Linked DNA regions of Drosophila melanogaster. The protein of the gene in region 3 interacts with the protein of the main gene of each other region in a biochemical or structural test. Each region holds a gene or a part of one and is shown on either strand. Other genes may lie near its edges.

The links. Proteins that work in one complex are often made in the same cells at the same time.
Region 1: the proteins of slo (region 3) and 14-3-3zeta form a complex in vitro, tested with the Drosophila melanogaster proteins (one study listed by BioGRID).
Region 2: the proteins of slo (region 3) and Slob form a complex in vitro, tested with the Drosophila melanogaster proteins (one study listed by BioGRID).

What each region holds. Positions count from the first base shown.
Region 1 is NT_033778.4:10,097,966-10,102,731, forward strand, and holds the start of 14-3-3zeta (14-3-3zeta), read left to right. Parts: upstream 1-1,711; 5' UTR 1,712-1,773; exon of another isoform or gene 1,774-1,885; intron 1,886-3,070; exon of another isoform or gene 3,071-3,212; intron 3,213-4,766. Other genes in the region: Jra (Jun-related antigen), read left to right, coding at 1-171; RpLP0-like (ribosomal protein LP0-like), read right to left, coding at 626-1,120, 1,181-1,428, 1,494-1,521. UniProt on the Drosophila melanogaster protein: Required in Raf-dependent cell proliferation and photoreceptor differentiation during eye development. Acts upstream of Raf and downstream of Ras, and is essential for viability.
Region 2 is NT_033779.5:7,672,024-7,676,811, reverse strand, and holds the start of Slob (slowpoke binding protein), read left to right. Parts: upstream 1-1,733; 5' UTR 1,734-2,373; intron 2,374-4,788. UniProt on the Drosophila melanogaster protein: Regulator of calcium-activated channel Slo. Increases or decreases the voltage sensitivity of Slo, depending on the absence or presence of 14-3-3-zeta in the complex, respectively.
Region 3 is NT_033777.3:24,660,496-24,665,545, forward strand, and holds the start of slo (slowpoke), read left to right. Parts: upstream 1-1,995; 5' UTR 1,996-2,068; intron 2,069-3,868; 5' UTR 3,869-4,300; intron 4,301-4,401; 5' UTR 4,402-4,590; exon of another isoform or gene 4,591-4,929; intron 4,930-5,050. Other genes in the region: Ppox (protoporphyrinogen oxidase), read right to left, coding at 1-1,230. UniProt on the Drosophila melanogaster protein: Potassium channel activated by both membrane depolarization or increase in cytosolic Ca(2+) that mediates export of K(+). Its activation dampens the excitatory events that elevate the cytosolic Ca(2+) concentration and/or depolarize the cell membrane.

The DNA of each region.
Region 1 (4,766 bases), on a different chromosome or scaffold from region 3:
TTGGAGCGCATCTCAAAGCTGGAGGATCGCGTGAAGGTACTTAAGGGCGAGAACGTCGACCTGGCTAGCATCGTGAAGAACCTCAAGGACCATGTGGCGCAGCTGAAGCAGCAGGTGATGGAGCACATTGCCGCGGGCTGCACGGTGCCGCCGAACTCGACAGACCAATAACATTTGGAGTTGTCAGCCGGGGAGAATGATGAGGAGGACGTGGCACTGGAGACTGAAACCCCCTCGAATCCTGAAGATCCCGAGCAACCCATGCCTCTGGAATTCTTTTCAAGTGCTAGCACCGGTGCCTTGGAGCTGGAGGGCTCGGCCTCTCAGGATATTTCCCTAACTAACAGCGAACTCCTGGAGGAGGAGAGCGATAACGAACAGCCTCTGGTGCTCTACATCCTCGCGGACGACGCAACCTGAGGCTTTGTGCCTTTCTTTGGTTTTAGCTGCAATATCTGAAATGCTTCTTAAGTGTTTTGTTTACTTAGTTATTAGTATAAGCTAGTGTTAATCAAGTATTATCTGTGTTGAACGTAAGATAATATGTAATGTACTTTTAAAATATACGTATATTTTCTGCACTTGATATATACATAAAAAAATTATTTCTACGCCTTAAACTTATTTATTCATCATCCTCCTCTTCGTCATCATCGTCGTCGTTGTCATCCATGGCCTCGGCCTCGGCCTCCTCTTCCATTGCGCTATCAGCCTGTTCCTCGTCGTTCACATCATCCTCGACATGCAGCTGGAAGCCTTCGCTTTTTGTCCACGAGCACTTCATGGTCAGCCGAAATTTGGCCATGGGCTTGCCCACCAGCTTGAGGATTCTCGCCTGTTCGGGTGTTAGAACTTTGCCCTCCTCACAAACCGTGTAGTCACTGTACAGCGTAACGATTCCCTTCTCCAATTTGGTGGGCAGGCCCAGGGAACGCAGATGCGGTTCCATAGAGTGGGCGAAGTCCTCTAGGGGACCTGCTGGCAGGGTAACCGTTTCCGTGGCCACAAAGCCACTGCGTGCGTATTCCACGGCCCAGTAGTTTTCTGCCCACTCCAGGACTTCCTCCTTGGATTTGTCCGTGAAAAGCAGTCCCACCTGGCCAGTTAATCGCTTGGATAGCTAATAGACATAGCCTGTGATTAGTGTCTGATATATGTTAATCCACTTAAACTTAATTACCTTGTGCAATTCCGGCTCCACTTCCTCGCTCTTCGTGCGACCCAAGCCAATCTGCATAACACGATTCTTGCCAAAGATAAAACGAGAATTCTTTTTCAACTCCTGTCGCAGATCCTTCAGCAAGCTATTCCTCATGTTCTGAACTTGGAAAACGAATATATTTGGGTATTTGCCCACGCAGAACCGAATGTCGTCCACAATGCGCTGTTTCCAAGCCAGACCCTTGCGGTCGGTTTTGGTCAGGGAAACTAAGGGAAGAAGAGTATCGCACGTTATAAGTACAAATCGTATATATTAAAGCCGAAACTCTCACCTTTCTTATCACGTTTGGAGCGCGGCATATCTGTAGCCTTTAAATAGCAACGTTTTCTTAACAGAAACCAAGAATATTTCCCACCGAACGTAAACACGTGCGGCCTTCTAGAGATGGTAAATGTTCCTAACCAACAATCGATAGCTCTATCGTGTATCGGAATTTCGCACCGTGCGGGTTGGAAAATTCCTGCGGGCCAATCCCTACTTCAGCTTTCCTCGTTTTCCAACACATCTGCGCGTAGAGAAGAAGAAGAACCTTCACGTCCGAGCCGTAAGAGGTGAATTAACTAATTAATAAGTGCTTGCTCGTTTAAAACTAAGTTAAAAGTCGTGTGCTGAGAGCCCAAGGATTACGCATATATTCGATATTCGCTTGAAAACCCAGGCGCAGTAAGTAGTTTCACCTAGTGCGTCGTGTGTCGGCTTGCGACCGCCATATTGTCGGCGGATAAAATTTTCCCCGAATAAGTGCGCCCACGCACTTTATCGATTCCGTTGGCCTCCTAATTGGATGCCACCTGCCCCTTGGGCTCTCCGCATTTGATTGCGTGCGGTACTGGCCTTGCGAAAATCCCATTACAATTGGAAATGGACGTAGCAATTTTTCATTACCGCAACCAAATAGGACGCCGATGACGTAATTTTTTCCGTCTTGTTCTTTGTGAGCTGTAGTAAAATGTAGAGATGAGCGCGTGAGCATGTCTTCGCCACGCACGAGTTGAATTGCAATACACTTACACGATTATTTAGAAAATTCCTCGTACACCTAATTACCGTTTTTTTTTTTTAATGACTTGAACATTATGCTTAATGTAATACAAAAACATCATAGAATATTAAATATATTTTCTTATTGTATAATTAACAATAGAAGAAGACTCAAAAGAATATACTCTAATTTTGTCGAATTATCCCATATTGACAGGACTAAGTATAATTAGAACTAGAAATTGATTGTTAAATCCTCGCCTTAACTTCCGGCCCACAATCGTAGGCCCTGCCTCACCTCACGAAAATCATAAGTACGTGGATATCTCGTTTTTATGTGTGAGTGCACCAATTCAATGAAATCCAAATTAGAATTAAGGCAATTTACCGCCACCCCCTTATCAATGGCATACATCTCCCGATTAGTTTCCTCCTTGCGGAGGCCATAAAGTCAAGATAAAAGCGTAATCTGGCAGCGAGATAAGCGCTCGAAAGTTTCAACAGGTTGGAAACGAACTATAAACTATTACTTCATAAAACGATGATAACACAAAGACTTGACAATAAAAGCTGGCTCATTTTAAAGCTCTCTATCTACAAGTTCTGAGACGCCTATTAATTAGTATATTTTATCTGAAAGTTTGGTTTCCAAGTTTTACCTGCACACCTGGCAACATTAATTTATACAGCAGGTTGGCAACCCTGAAACTCTCTCACTTGTCGCACTTTCTCGCTCTCGCCTGAGCCAGCCCCATATGCTCCCTCTCATTCTGCGGCGGCGCATGTGCCCCTGCTAGAGTGTGCGTGGGGAGAGAGCGCAGAAACACAGATACAGCGGCGCGGCGAATGTGTGCAACCTTTGCCGTCCGTCATTCTCATTCGTTCGTTGGTAGTGTTCGTTGTCGTTTCAGTTTCAGTTAATCGAGAATGTAAGTAACATTTTTGCTGGCCCAGAGTGCCTTGTACCTATGTGTGTGCGCCTGCCAGTGTGTGTATGGAATTATAAAACGTAAAATTGCTAAAATATCCGAAGAAAAAACACGTGTAATGCCGCCTATGAGCAATCACTTACATGCATCTATACTTCGTCCCGCAGAAAAATCGAAATACATAAATCAGACATCGATCCGAAGCCAAAAAAAAAAAATCTACGCAAAAGAATAAAGTGTAAATTTGTGCAAAATAAGGAAAAGAAAAGAAAATGAAAGAAAAGAACATTCCCGAGTTGCCCGAGTATTGGTGCATGTATGTGATGCGGTGAGATTCGCTTGTAGCTTCGTATTTCTCATCATCATCAGCAGTTCATCGGTTAAGTTGTAGGCGGCGGACATAGCCGACTTCTATATTTACGCTTATATAGCCAGCTATATGTACACACAGTACGCCAAGATAGATATATATATATATATATCCAAGTTGATACTTGGATGGGGACACGCGGTTAGGTGGGTTTCCTCGCCAAACTCAACACACTTGGCGGCCGCCTGTGGTAGATACATTTCGGCCTCTCTCTGCGGCGTTCTCCGCTCTCTCCCTCCCTCCCACCTCGCTCCTCCTTTCTCCCGATTATTTTTATAATTTTGTAGCGCCGCACTTGGAAACACGATTGGCGGCCCCACCAACACCATCTCACCCATCCGCACCACCATTACCACCACCACCCAGAACGCACCGACACACGCAGAGTCGCACGCACACAGCCCCAATAAAAGTTAGTAACTTTTTCGCCCCATGTAGAGCCGCAGTAGCGGTATCTACAGTGTAGAGGAATTTCTACATCATCGGGGATTGGGTTCTTGCTCGGCTCGGTCTCGGGGGGTTTGGGGGGGGGGGGGGGGTTCTTGAGCTACTGCGCATGCTGTCGGCCGGCGCAGATAAGGTTTAAAGTACCAAGTATCCATCCGACACGGATTTCGCAGGATTTTCTAGCCCCGAAATTAGCCTGACCATATGGGTGTTAAACCGTCCTCTAAGGTCTACGTATCTATAACTTCGAGATACCCACCTCCCACCTGTTTTTCCCCCTATTTACCAATTTATTCATTCAGGCAGATGAGCAATCTGCGTGGTTGAAACAAGTTTTTCCTCCTTTGATTTATCCGATAAAAACTACAAACATATTTGTGACCATTTAGGGGAGTGTTACGTTAATTTACGTTACGCCTGGCTTAATGTTTTGGCATTTACCGAGCACAGGCAGAAAACATGCCAATTGACCTAAAAACGCGTCGGGAGACCGCACCGCACCCTCCCCCTTCCATATTTTTGCTACGCCACGCCCCGCCGCCCTTTTTGTTTTGACAAAGGGTCAATGCTTTTTCAATTTGGCGGTCGGTCGCAACACAAATAATAGCTGTTTTCATATGGTTTAAACTTCAATTGGTTGGTTTTTAGGCAACTGCGCAGAAATCAGCATTTATAATTGCTTCTGCCAATGTTACTGGGTCTTTGAAACTAGTTGTTAGCTTCAGTAAAGAACATTTGTATGGGGTTTCAAACATTTTGGAGACTATTTTTCACCTAACCATTTCAATGTAGCAACTATTCAGCGGTCGCTGCTAGC
Region 2 (4,788 bases), on a different chromosome or scaffold from region 3:
AGCAAAGAAAGAGCCCAAGGTGGCTTTGCACTGAGAATAAAATGATTTGCAGTGTATTCTTAGCATATGTATAAAAATTTATCAAGATAAATAAAATGGATGTTAAATTACTACATTTTAGTAAATTTACTTTTCTTTTTAATACTCCTAAGGGAGCAACTATACAATTTTGTCATAAAATGTTCGAAGCAGTCTAAAATTAATATAAATATTGTAGTTAAATTTTTCTCTCTGTATGGAAAAATTAAAAAAGGGCCGAAGATCGGCGGATAAAAGCAAAGAAAGAGCCCAAGGTGGCTTTGCACTGAGAATAAAATGATTTGCAGTGTATTCTTAGCATATGTATAAAAATTTATCAAGATAAATAAAATGGATGTTAAATTACTACATTTTAGTAAATTTACTTTTCTTTTTAATACTCCTAAGGGAGCAACTATACAATTTTGTCATAAAATGTTCGAAGCAGTCTAAAATTAATATAAATATTGTAGTTACATTTTTCTCTCTGTATGGAAAAATTAAAAAAGGGCCGAAGATGACAGCAAAGACTTTTCACTTTCCTCTGACGTTTCGCGGATCGCTGGTGGCGCATAAAAATTCAATTAAAGACGGCGGCGGCTGGCCAAAGGACGTGAACACAAGGCGAGTGTGCCGTCATAAATTCCATGCCGATAACGCGGCGTATGCGCAATGTCGAGCAATTTGTTCTGAGTTGCCAGTTGCGAGGTGAACCCCAAGCAATCATCGTCAGGCGAGCAATTTACAATGTTTGCCGTGTTCCTCAGATAGCAGCATCGCATCCACCGCTGCATTCGCTCGCTGACACTGATAATTCAGTTGGCGATGTAACACCTCCACCACCCACCACTGCCCCCAAGACAATCAACCACCCAGCCACCCACTCTCGAACAAATTGTTGACCTATATTTGGGCATCAATGAAACGCGAGCAGATGTGGCGAACAGTTGGCGAAGGGGGAAACAACAACTGCACCGCGTTTTCAATGCTGTTGAGTAAGTTGAGTAAAAGCTTCTGGTAGCCGCTTTGCTGGAGAAAAGCTGTGTAGCAATCACTCTTTCCTCATCGGTGCTTTGTCAAAGCTTTGCGACTGGAATGAAAAGCTCCCACACTCTCCCAAACAAATTAGTTACTTTTTCCAAAGATAAGGATATTCGCGGCTATAAATTTGTTAACAACGATTTTCACATGCGTGAGTTGTTTCAATTAAAGCAAAATTAATAAAGAAAAGTTAAAACGGAAAAAGAGTTAAGCCCTAAAATGTTGTTCTTTAATATAAGACAGAAACTGAATTATTCTGTTTTTGCCTGCTTTAATAAGTCCTATTGAATTTCTACATCACTTACCATATCATTTTTAAATTTCAATGAAATATTAAAAACTACAACATACATATACGGGTAATAAGAATGGGCCACTTAAACAGCTGACTTCCATGAAACCGTTATCCAGAAGATACTATCAGATACTGGCGACCGTCGAAGCTCCTGCTCCTGGAAGGGGTAATCAGCTGGACAAATCCAGAGAGAGCGAGAACGGAACAAGTGACAGTGGAACAGGCAAATCAACCGAAAAGGGAAAAGGGTGTCAATGGAAGACCACAAATGGAACTTTTTGGACACTTTCTCTCTGTCTCTCGGTTTTCCACTCTCTTTTAGGAGGAAATAAAGGCGGCAAGCGGCTGGCAGCTTTTCAATCCAGTTCGAGTCAGCCAGCGGAGTGGACGTCTCTATTTCTCAGTGTAATTCCCAACCGATTCTCTGCCGCGTCGCGAATAAAACGGTAGTTTTAAATTAAAATTTTAACAAATTTACACTTAATTTAGAAAACTAAGTCAGATTATTGAATACACAAAATTTGATGATGTATATTGACTATTCGCACACGACCGTCATTGCGAATGCCATCAATTATTTAAGGCATTTATTTTGATTCAGTTTCCTTGTGCTTTTGTTTGCTGGTTGTCCCACAAAAACAGAAATTGTTTGCCCTCCAGGAGCAACAAAAACAACTGTGAGCGGAGAGTGCAGAGAGCCGATGGACACCGAAAAATCCGAATAGGAAACATACCGAAGTCCAAAAGCACCGAGCACCAAACACACGGAAATTCAGTCGCGTAAGGGCATCGCATCAGTCCACACCGCATCGGATCTTCGAGATACATTCGCATCTGTAAGATACAACCGCATTTTTGGGATACTCTCGCGAGTGAAAATTTTTTCGGCAATAAGTCAATTAAAAACCCGAATCTCAAACCATCAATAAATCAGATAATCAAATACCGGAAAATAGGCAAGCAGGAAAGAGGAACTCTAAATCAAGCTCAAAGCTCTTCTCACCTTTTCCTGGTTACAGGTGAGTTCAGTGGCTGACACTTGGGGGAGGTGGTGGCCTTTTATGACCTATTTGAAATCTGAAGGGCTGTAAATGCAATTATTCGCCAGCCACAATGCGTATCTATGCGTTTGTTAAAGTAATTTAGAAGTAATTGAGAATTCTGTGGAATCTAATACATTTTGACTTAATGAGATAATGGGTAACTGGATGCCGAATTGGCTAACTGGAATTCTATATCCGTATAAAGACCGGTTTCCAGCATAAAGCAGGATTCATTAACCCCTTAGAAGGTCAAATACTTTTTCTTAAAACTCTCCACAACTTTATTTCAATTCCGAATGCAATTTGCTAGCGAGTCTGTGCGTTTCTCGTTTTGTACAGCTGCATGGACGTCATGGGGGGATTATGGAAGCATATTACGCATACGCCCCATCCGCCAAAAGCAAGTGCAATTGGAGATGATGATTGTCAACGTTCAATGGAGCATCCATTGCCATTTCTTTTTCCAGTTCCCCATGCGGTAATTGCAGCGCCAACTGCACGAACTATTCCTAATGAGACAGTTAAATCGCAATCGTAAAGCTAGAGTCCCGTACTCATTTATCCATCTGCGTCTACCCCTTCTCAGATTTTGGTGAAGAGAACCCTTGAGGAACGCGCTCGGTTTCCTTTGAATGCCGCTGCGTTTCTTTCTCAATCTCAATTGGAATGCATTGTGCCCAAGGACATCTGCAGAAGCAAAGGAGCAGAAAAATGGTCTTCTAGGTGGTTCGAAGGGAGGCCTTTTGCTTTAGCGGTACATTACTCAGTTTACTGCCGGATTATAGCCTTAAGCCGTTCGGAAGTTTCTCAAGGGGTTGGGATACTAAACGAGCAGACAGCTAATGTCCGTCCCTCCACATTTTACGAGAGAAAAAGCGGAGACAGAGCAGTAGGATTTCCCAAAATAGACAATTTTCTTTTTTTTTTTTTGACTCTCTCTCACTGGAGAGTAGGGAACCCAAACGGAATCAGTGAAAGTGGCATCGACAAATTCGATTTGGTTACTGCCTGGTAATAGACCCTAGGAATATTTATTGGAATGCAATAACCACTTTTTCTGGATATTTTAAAATGTTGGGATAAAAATAGCTAATTATATCCAATCCATAAAAAAAAAATCAAAAGTTAATGAATATTACTTTCAACATAAAGATACCCAAGTGAAAAGATTTCTTTCTTCTCTGGCAATTGTTGTCCCGTGTTAATCTAATAGAAAACGATTTGTTTTGTTGACATTTTTCTTTTAACGTTTCCCCAATTTTATTGTGTTTGTGCAAACATTTTTATTTGATTCCGACTTTTGCTTCTTCTTGTCTCCGTTTTTCCATTTTCAGTGATTTGATTTTCATGTTAACTTAGATCACTCGACTGAATCGATTTTCCTGCGGGCGGAGATAACATTTAAGTGCGCCCAAGTGTCGCCTACAATATTTCCGAAATTTATGCTAATTATGCAAACGCCTCTGTACAAACAGCAAACGCTGCGTATGCGTAATACTTTTGGCCATATTTTGCTTTGTTTTGACAAAGACAACAAAGGTCATGGGATGTGAGGGTACCAGGCGTCGAGATTTCTTGGCGGTGATTCTAAAAATAGACAATTGAGTGAATCATGGATTCACTAAAGAAAAAAGTATTTTGTTAGGACTCACATGAGTTGCTGGATAAAGTCTTGATTCGAAAGGGCTTGATTTGACAGGGCAGTCATTACTCAGGACAGACAATAAACCATCTAAACCCCTCTCTTCGTTGAACACCCTCTGAATTTCTAGAGAACGTTTTCGTATCGACGAAATCTTATATATCTTCGCTGATTTATGCGTTCTATTCCAGCGAAAATGTTTATTCTGAGCCCTTTTTTGGAGTGCCAGAGAATTAGTTCATCCTGCCATGTTGGCCACGCCCCATCGCTCACCCCGCCCCTTTGACCAGGATTTGTTTTGTGTGTTGCTTTCAATTTGTTTGTTTATTTCACTTTTCGAAAAAGGTCAAAGTTAGCCACATTTTGTTTCGCATTCGCTTTGGGCCTTCACCCATATGTGTTTGTGTGGCTCAGAGGGGCGTTTTGGGTGGGCGTGGCTTTTGAAATTTCGTTTATGTGCTTTTCTGACATTCATTAAAAGTCCAGCGAGCGACGAAAACTTTGAAGAGATTATCGACTAGGGCAGTCATAATATTTATGGGCTCGCGGGAAAGGTCAGGGATTGACCTTTACCTACCCCAAAAAAGTACTTTCATTGTTGTCCCAATTTAACAAACGACACTAACACTTGATCTGCGATAAGAAAATTGAAATCAAAGGCAACCCCACAAAGGAAAACCTGGGGGAAATATTCTGGTAGACGGGGTTTGACATTTTACAAATGCCAGCAATAAAATTAACTTAAATAA
Region 3 (5,050 bases):
TTTGGGTTCCTCGCGTATCTGCAGCATTTTCTGCACATGGCTGGTGGCTAAGTCAAGAATCTGCTTGGGGCTTGGACGATCACCGAACCACTGGTCGAACCAATGGCCACCCATCATCACGGTAAGCACAGTGTTCTCGCCCATGTCGAAGCAGCAGCTGTCGAAGATGACGCCGAGCAGAGGTAACTTTTCCACTGGCGGCACTAGCAATCCAAAGCCGTCTTGTTTGAGTAGCTTGCCGGGGAACTGCATGTTCACTACCAGCACATCCACGTACGGAATGCTCAAAAGTTGGGCGCTCAGCGAGGGATGCTGCTGCTTTACCAGGGGCGCGAGTTTGTAGGCGGGCAGGGAGCTGACCACATGCTCCACCGGAACTTCGGCATCCTTGATGTTCATTCGAACCCCGGAGCTGCTGAAGGTCAGGTTCCGGCATTCGTTGCTTAGCTGCACGTTCACATCCCGCTCACCTAAGTACTTTCGCATAGTTTTGGGTAGGTTCTCCAGACCGCCTTTCAGCCCGTACATGGCCCACTTCTCCTTTACCGCCTGCGCATACAGCTTGGGCTGTCTTTCGGCAAATAGTCCATCCTTGGTGTCCTTGGTCTTGTTCTTCTCAAAGCGGGAAATGAGTGTGCCCTTGAGCACTCCTCCGTACTTCTGTTCCTTTTCAAAGAGCCCCTCCATCAGGAAGCGCACACTTATTTCTCGCGCGTCACCGGCGCAAATACCGCAGATCATGGGACTGATGGCGTAGTCGGCTATCTCCTTACCAAACCGCCGCTCAGCGAAACTGTAGATGCTCTCATCCTCCAGCTTCGCTTTCTTGCTTGCTGTGAACAGATCGCGAAGAACCGCTTTGTATAGCGGCTTCGTGAAGGGAGGCAGGACGCCGAAGAGACCCTTGGGACTGTTGGGCAGCATGCAGAGCTGTCCCTTGGCATACAGCATTCGGTTGCGTGCTGCGACATGACTGCGTCGAATGGGAGTCACCTCCAGCTTCAGATCCTCCACCAATTCTAGCGTATTGGCACCTGGCTCACCAACTGGGCGTATGGTTCGCGGTCCGCTCTCGAAGATGAAGTTGCGATCCTTGCGATTCTCCGACCGCACCCATCCGCCCACACGGGGCGAGGCCTCGTAGATGGTCAGCGGCTTCCCGAATCGCCGCAACAGGTAGTATCCGGCGGATAGTCCACTCAATCCGCCTCCCAGCACGGCCGTCGTCATGGTCCTTCTGCTGCTTCTCGTTGCTCCCGAATCCCTTAGAGGATTCAGACTAGTTCTGGTTTGCAGACGAAAAAATCTATGCCGGCTTCGATCGTTCAGACCAAAATAAACCCAGGTGACATAACTATCGTTGAAGCTATCGATAAGCTCAAATCCAAAATCGCTGAGCTTGCAATCGATGTTATATGCGATTGAAGAGTTTTGAATTGACAATTCTGCAGAAAATAAAATCAAATAAAGGAAGGGATAAATATTTTATAAAATAAATAGCATTTATTGTTATACTTATTTTGGTAACTACAGCTAACATAATATCTTATAATCGAAACAATGGTTTTAGAATATTTATTGTTAAATTATGTAAAGTTAAATAAAATATAGTGCAATTGATAATACTTAATTTAAGCATTGATACAAGAATACAAATGCATAGTACTTTTATTTGCCATTATTTTATCTCATTTAACATGCATTTGTGCACCCGTCCCAAAAGTATGCAATGAATTTCTTCCGACATTCCTCATACGCCACGTGTGCATCGTGCGGAAGTTCACTTGCACCTGCATCGGCACCATTACCATCATCATCACCATCACCGCGGCACTGGGTCATTCATAGTGAATGGGTTTTGGCGCCAGTTTTGATGAATCGAACGAAGCGTCCAGCCCGCACCAACCGCAGGACTCCGAAAAGCTCCCAAAGACGAGCTTGGGCCGTGCGGAAGTACATTGGGCCACCGATTTCCATGTCGTCGGAGTCGACATCGCGCAGAATTGTATACGCTGCTGACGAGAAAGGTTGGTCCTCGCGTTTGAGCGCGTCGCGTCTTTTATTCTGGGTGTGTGAGTGAGTGGACTGTGTGGAAAAGTGCCTATCGCGTATATGTATATTCACGGGACCCATACACACACACACAGCTGCAGCACTTGGAAATGTGAAAAATTTTCAAGCTGCGTTTGCCAATTACGGGGAAAATTGAGCAAAAAACGTCTTAAAATCCGGGCAATTATCGTGGCCATTTGCGGAACGGCAATTGTGCAAAATTCGGTATCCGTTGAAAACGGGCTCAGTGAACGTGAAAATGTGCCACACACACACTTACAACGCAGGAAATTCAATTAATTAGTGACCGAGTGTGTGTGTGTGTGTTCGCCCATAAAACGGCGATTGTGATTGCGAAAAAAGTGTTGCATACATAAAGGAGCTAAGAAGTGGACCAACGAGCAACACTAAAGGAAAACTCTTTAGAAATACAGTTTTTCGCTTTTTTTTTTGGCACTGCTGCAGGTTTTCATTTAAAAGATACATTTGTTGAAGTCAACACACACGGACACACACACATGCGCATACGGCACAGTTTTTCGTTCGTTTTTAAAACGAGCACACCACAAGTTCCCCAAAACGAAAGGACGAAGGGACCCGACCCGATGATAAAGTCGATGTTCCAGGCCGGAGATACACTTGTATCGTTCCCCTGCCTTTGCCGCTGCTGTCATCGTCAATGTTATTTTTGTTGCTTCCTACTCGTCGTCCTTCGTGTGTCGCAGGATACCTTGGTATATGTGTGTCAGTCAGTCACTGGCCGAGCGTGGGTGTGTGTGTGCGTGCGCCAGGATACGCAGATACCCAGATACCTACAAATGAAGCCACCAAATCCAGGCGAGTTCAATGCGCGGCCAGGACGAAGGACTAAGCTCTGTTTACATTGGCTCACGAATGCCCATTTTCCAAGCCCCCTGTATTTTCCGCCCGTTGGCGTGCCGTGGGAAATTGTGTCGCCTGCTTATTTATTATGAAAATGCAACTTTCATTTGACTCGGCATTTGTCCCGTTTCCATTGTTTGCAGGCACATTAGGCAGCTCGTTAAGCGCATGAAAGTGTGTGTCCTGCGGGTGTGCGAGTGTGTGTGTGTGACACGAAGGGGAACTAAAAACTAGGGCAGTGTGTTTCCGTTTCAACGACATGCCGCAGGCGAAAGAACGAGTCCGTCCGCAGGACAGCAAAGCCTCGCTAATCGGGCAGGAAATGAATAACTTAAAAAGTTACCAATGACAAGTTTGACATTAAATGTATCATATACAAATAACATGCAAACGAAAGTGATAATTGTAAAGCATGTTGTATATTGCCAAAAATTCTAGTTTTTGGTACCACATTGCGTATGCTTAACCAAAATGTGCGACTTTCGCAGGCAAGGAAAAAGCTTTCTGCCCGACAATTTTCGGATTCCCTGCATCGCGCAGCCGCCAATACGCCAGCAGCAATTGTGAGAAATTGAGAGAAATTCTCAGAGAATTCTCCGAGAACTGAGAATTTAAAAACGGCGAGAATAGTGCTGATTTTGCTTTCAAGTCTGCTTCGCATCTTTATTTATTTATTTACTTGACACGCTTGCTTTTCCGGCTACGGAAAATGGTGATACAATGTCTAAAATAATATTAATTTAATAGAATATATATACGAATACAAATATATACGTAATATCATTGACAAATGTCTGCGGTCGTAAAAAAATTAAAAACGCAAATAACGCTGACAGCCTAACTAAAAAATATAATTAATTACCGCGTTCGTCGCGCTGCCTTGGCAAATTAAAAAGTATTTAAATTATCGCTCAACTTAATAAATCTCTTGCAGCTTAACACACAAGGAAAAATTTCGTGGGCAAACAAAGCTAAATAAGTTGTGAAAGGAAACATGAGCAGTGTGACTAAGCGCAGTTTCTAATTTAACCAAATTCCAATTCAAATTCAAAAGAACGAACAACTATTGATCAAGACGGCAAAGAAAGAAGCAAACAAACCAAAACGCACAATGAAACTGATAAGCTTAACGCAGCTGATAACACAATGAAACTCATCCACGGATCCGAAATGCAATTATGAAATAATCAGCAAGCCGCAATCCATCAGCCAGTGAGGAAAATCCAGCCAGCCAGCCCAAGAATTTCCACGTGCAACATTGGCGAGCCGCAGCGACCACAAATCGTCCAAACACATTGATGTGCGATTTGAGCGTGTGAATGTTGGCAGCCCTGGAGCCCTGCCTCGGTGGTTTAGCCAGTACTAGGTGAGTACTCCCAGTCCTTCATCCATTCGCCCAAAAAACACTGTTCCAAATCCCAATTCGATTGCACCACCACCACAACATCCATACACTGTGCCGCATAGAAACCCGAATATGAGAACGGATAGCGAGGGGAAAGCCGTAGCAGCCGCAAGATCCACTTCGAAATCCAGAAAGACCATCAACACCACATCAGCAAGCGGTCCGCCCGGACCGAAACCGGAACGAACATGGCCAGCTGGTGCCCCAATTGCCACGAACTGCCACCGTTCTATCCGCCCATCACGCCAAAGGTAAAGCCCTTGATGTCGTACGTGATAAATCCACAGATACATATTCGTACGCCTCGCTTGTGAAAGACCATCTGAAATTGTAGAAGTCACGTTAGCGGCTCTGCAATGATCTGTATACGGACTACTGGGATTAACCTATCTCTCCAGCTCGTCAATCAATCAATCATCAATCAATCAGTCATTTTTCCAGCGATAGTTCGCAGTGCTAGACGCTGCTACTCTTATCACATTTTGCTCTACTTCGAACATATAAAAGGCAGTGATCTTTAATCCAATAGCTTATCACTTTGTTTTGAATCCAAAGGAGCGAGCTCATTATATTATATATATCATTAAAATGTAAGCCTTATTTCTGTTAATTAAGTGTACAACTTGGTGTAAAACGATAATGTAATCGAGAGATATTTGTAAAATTTGTTGTAAATATATATAATGTACATAATCTTATCAGTACTTAGTA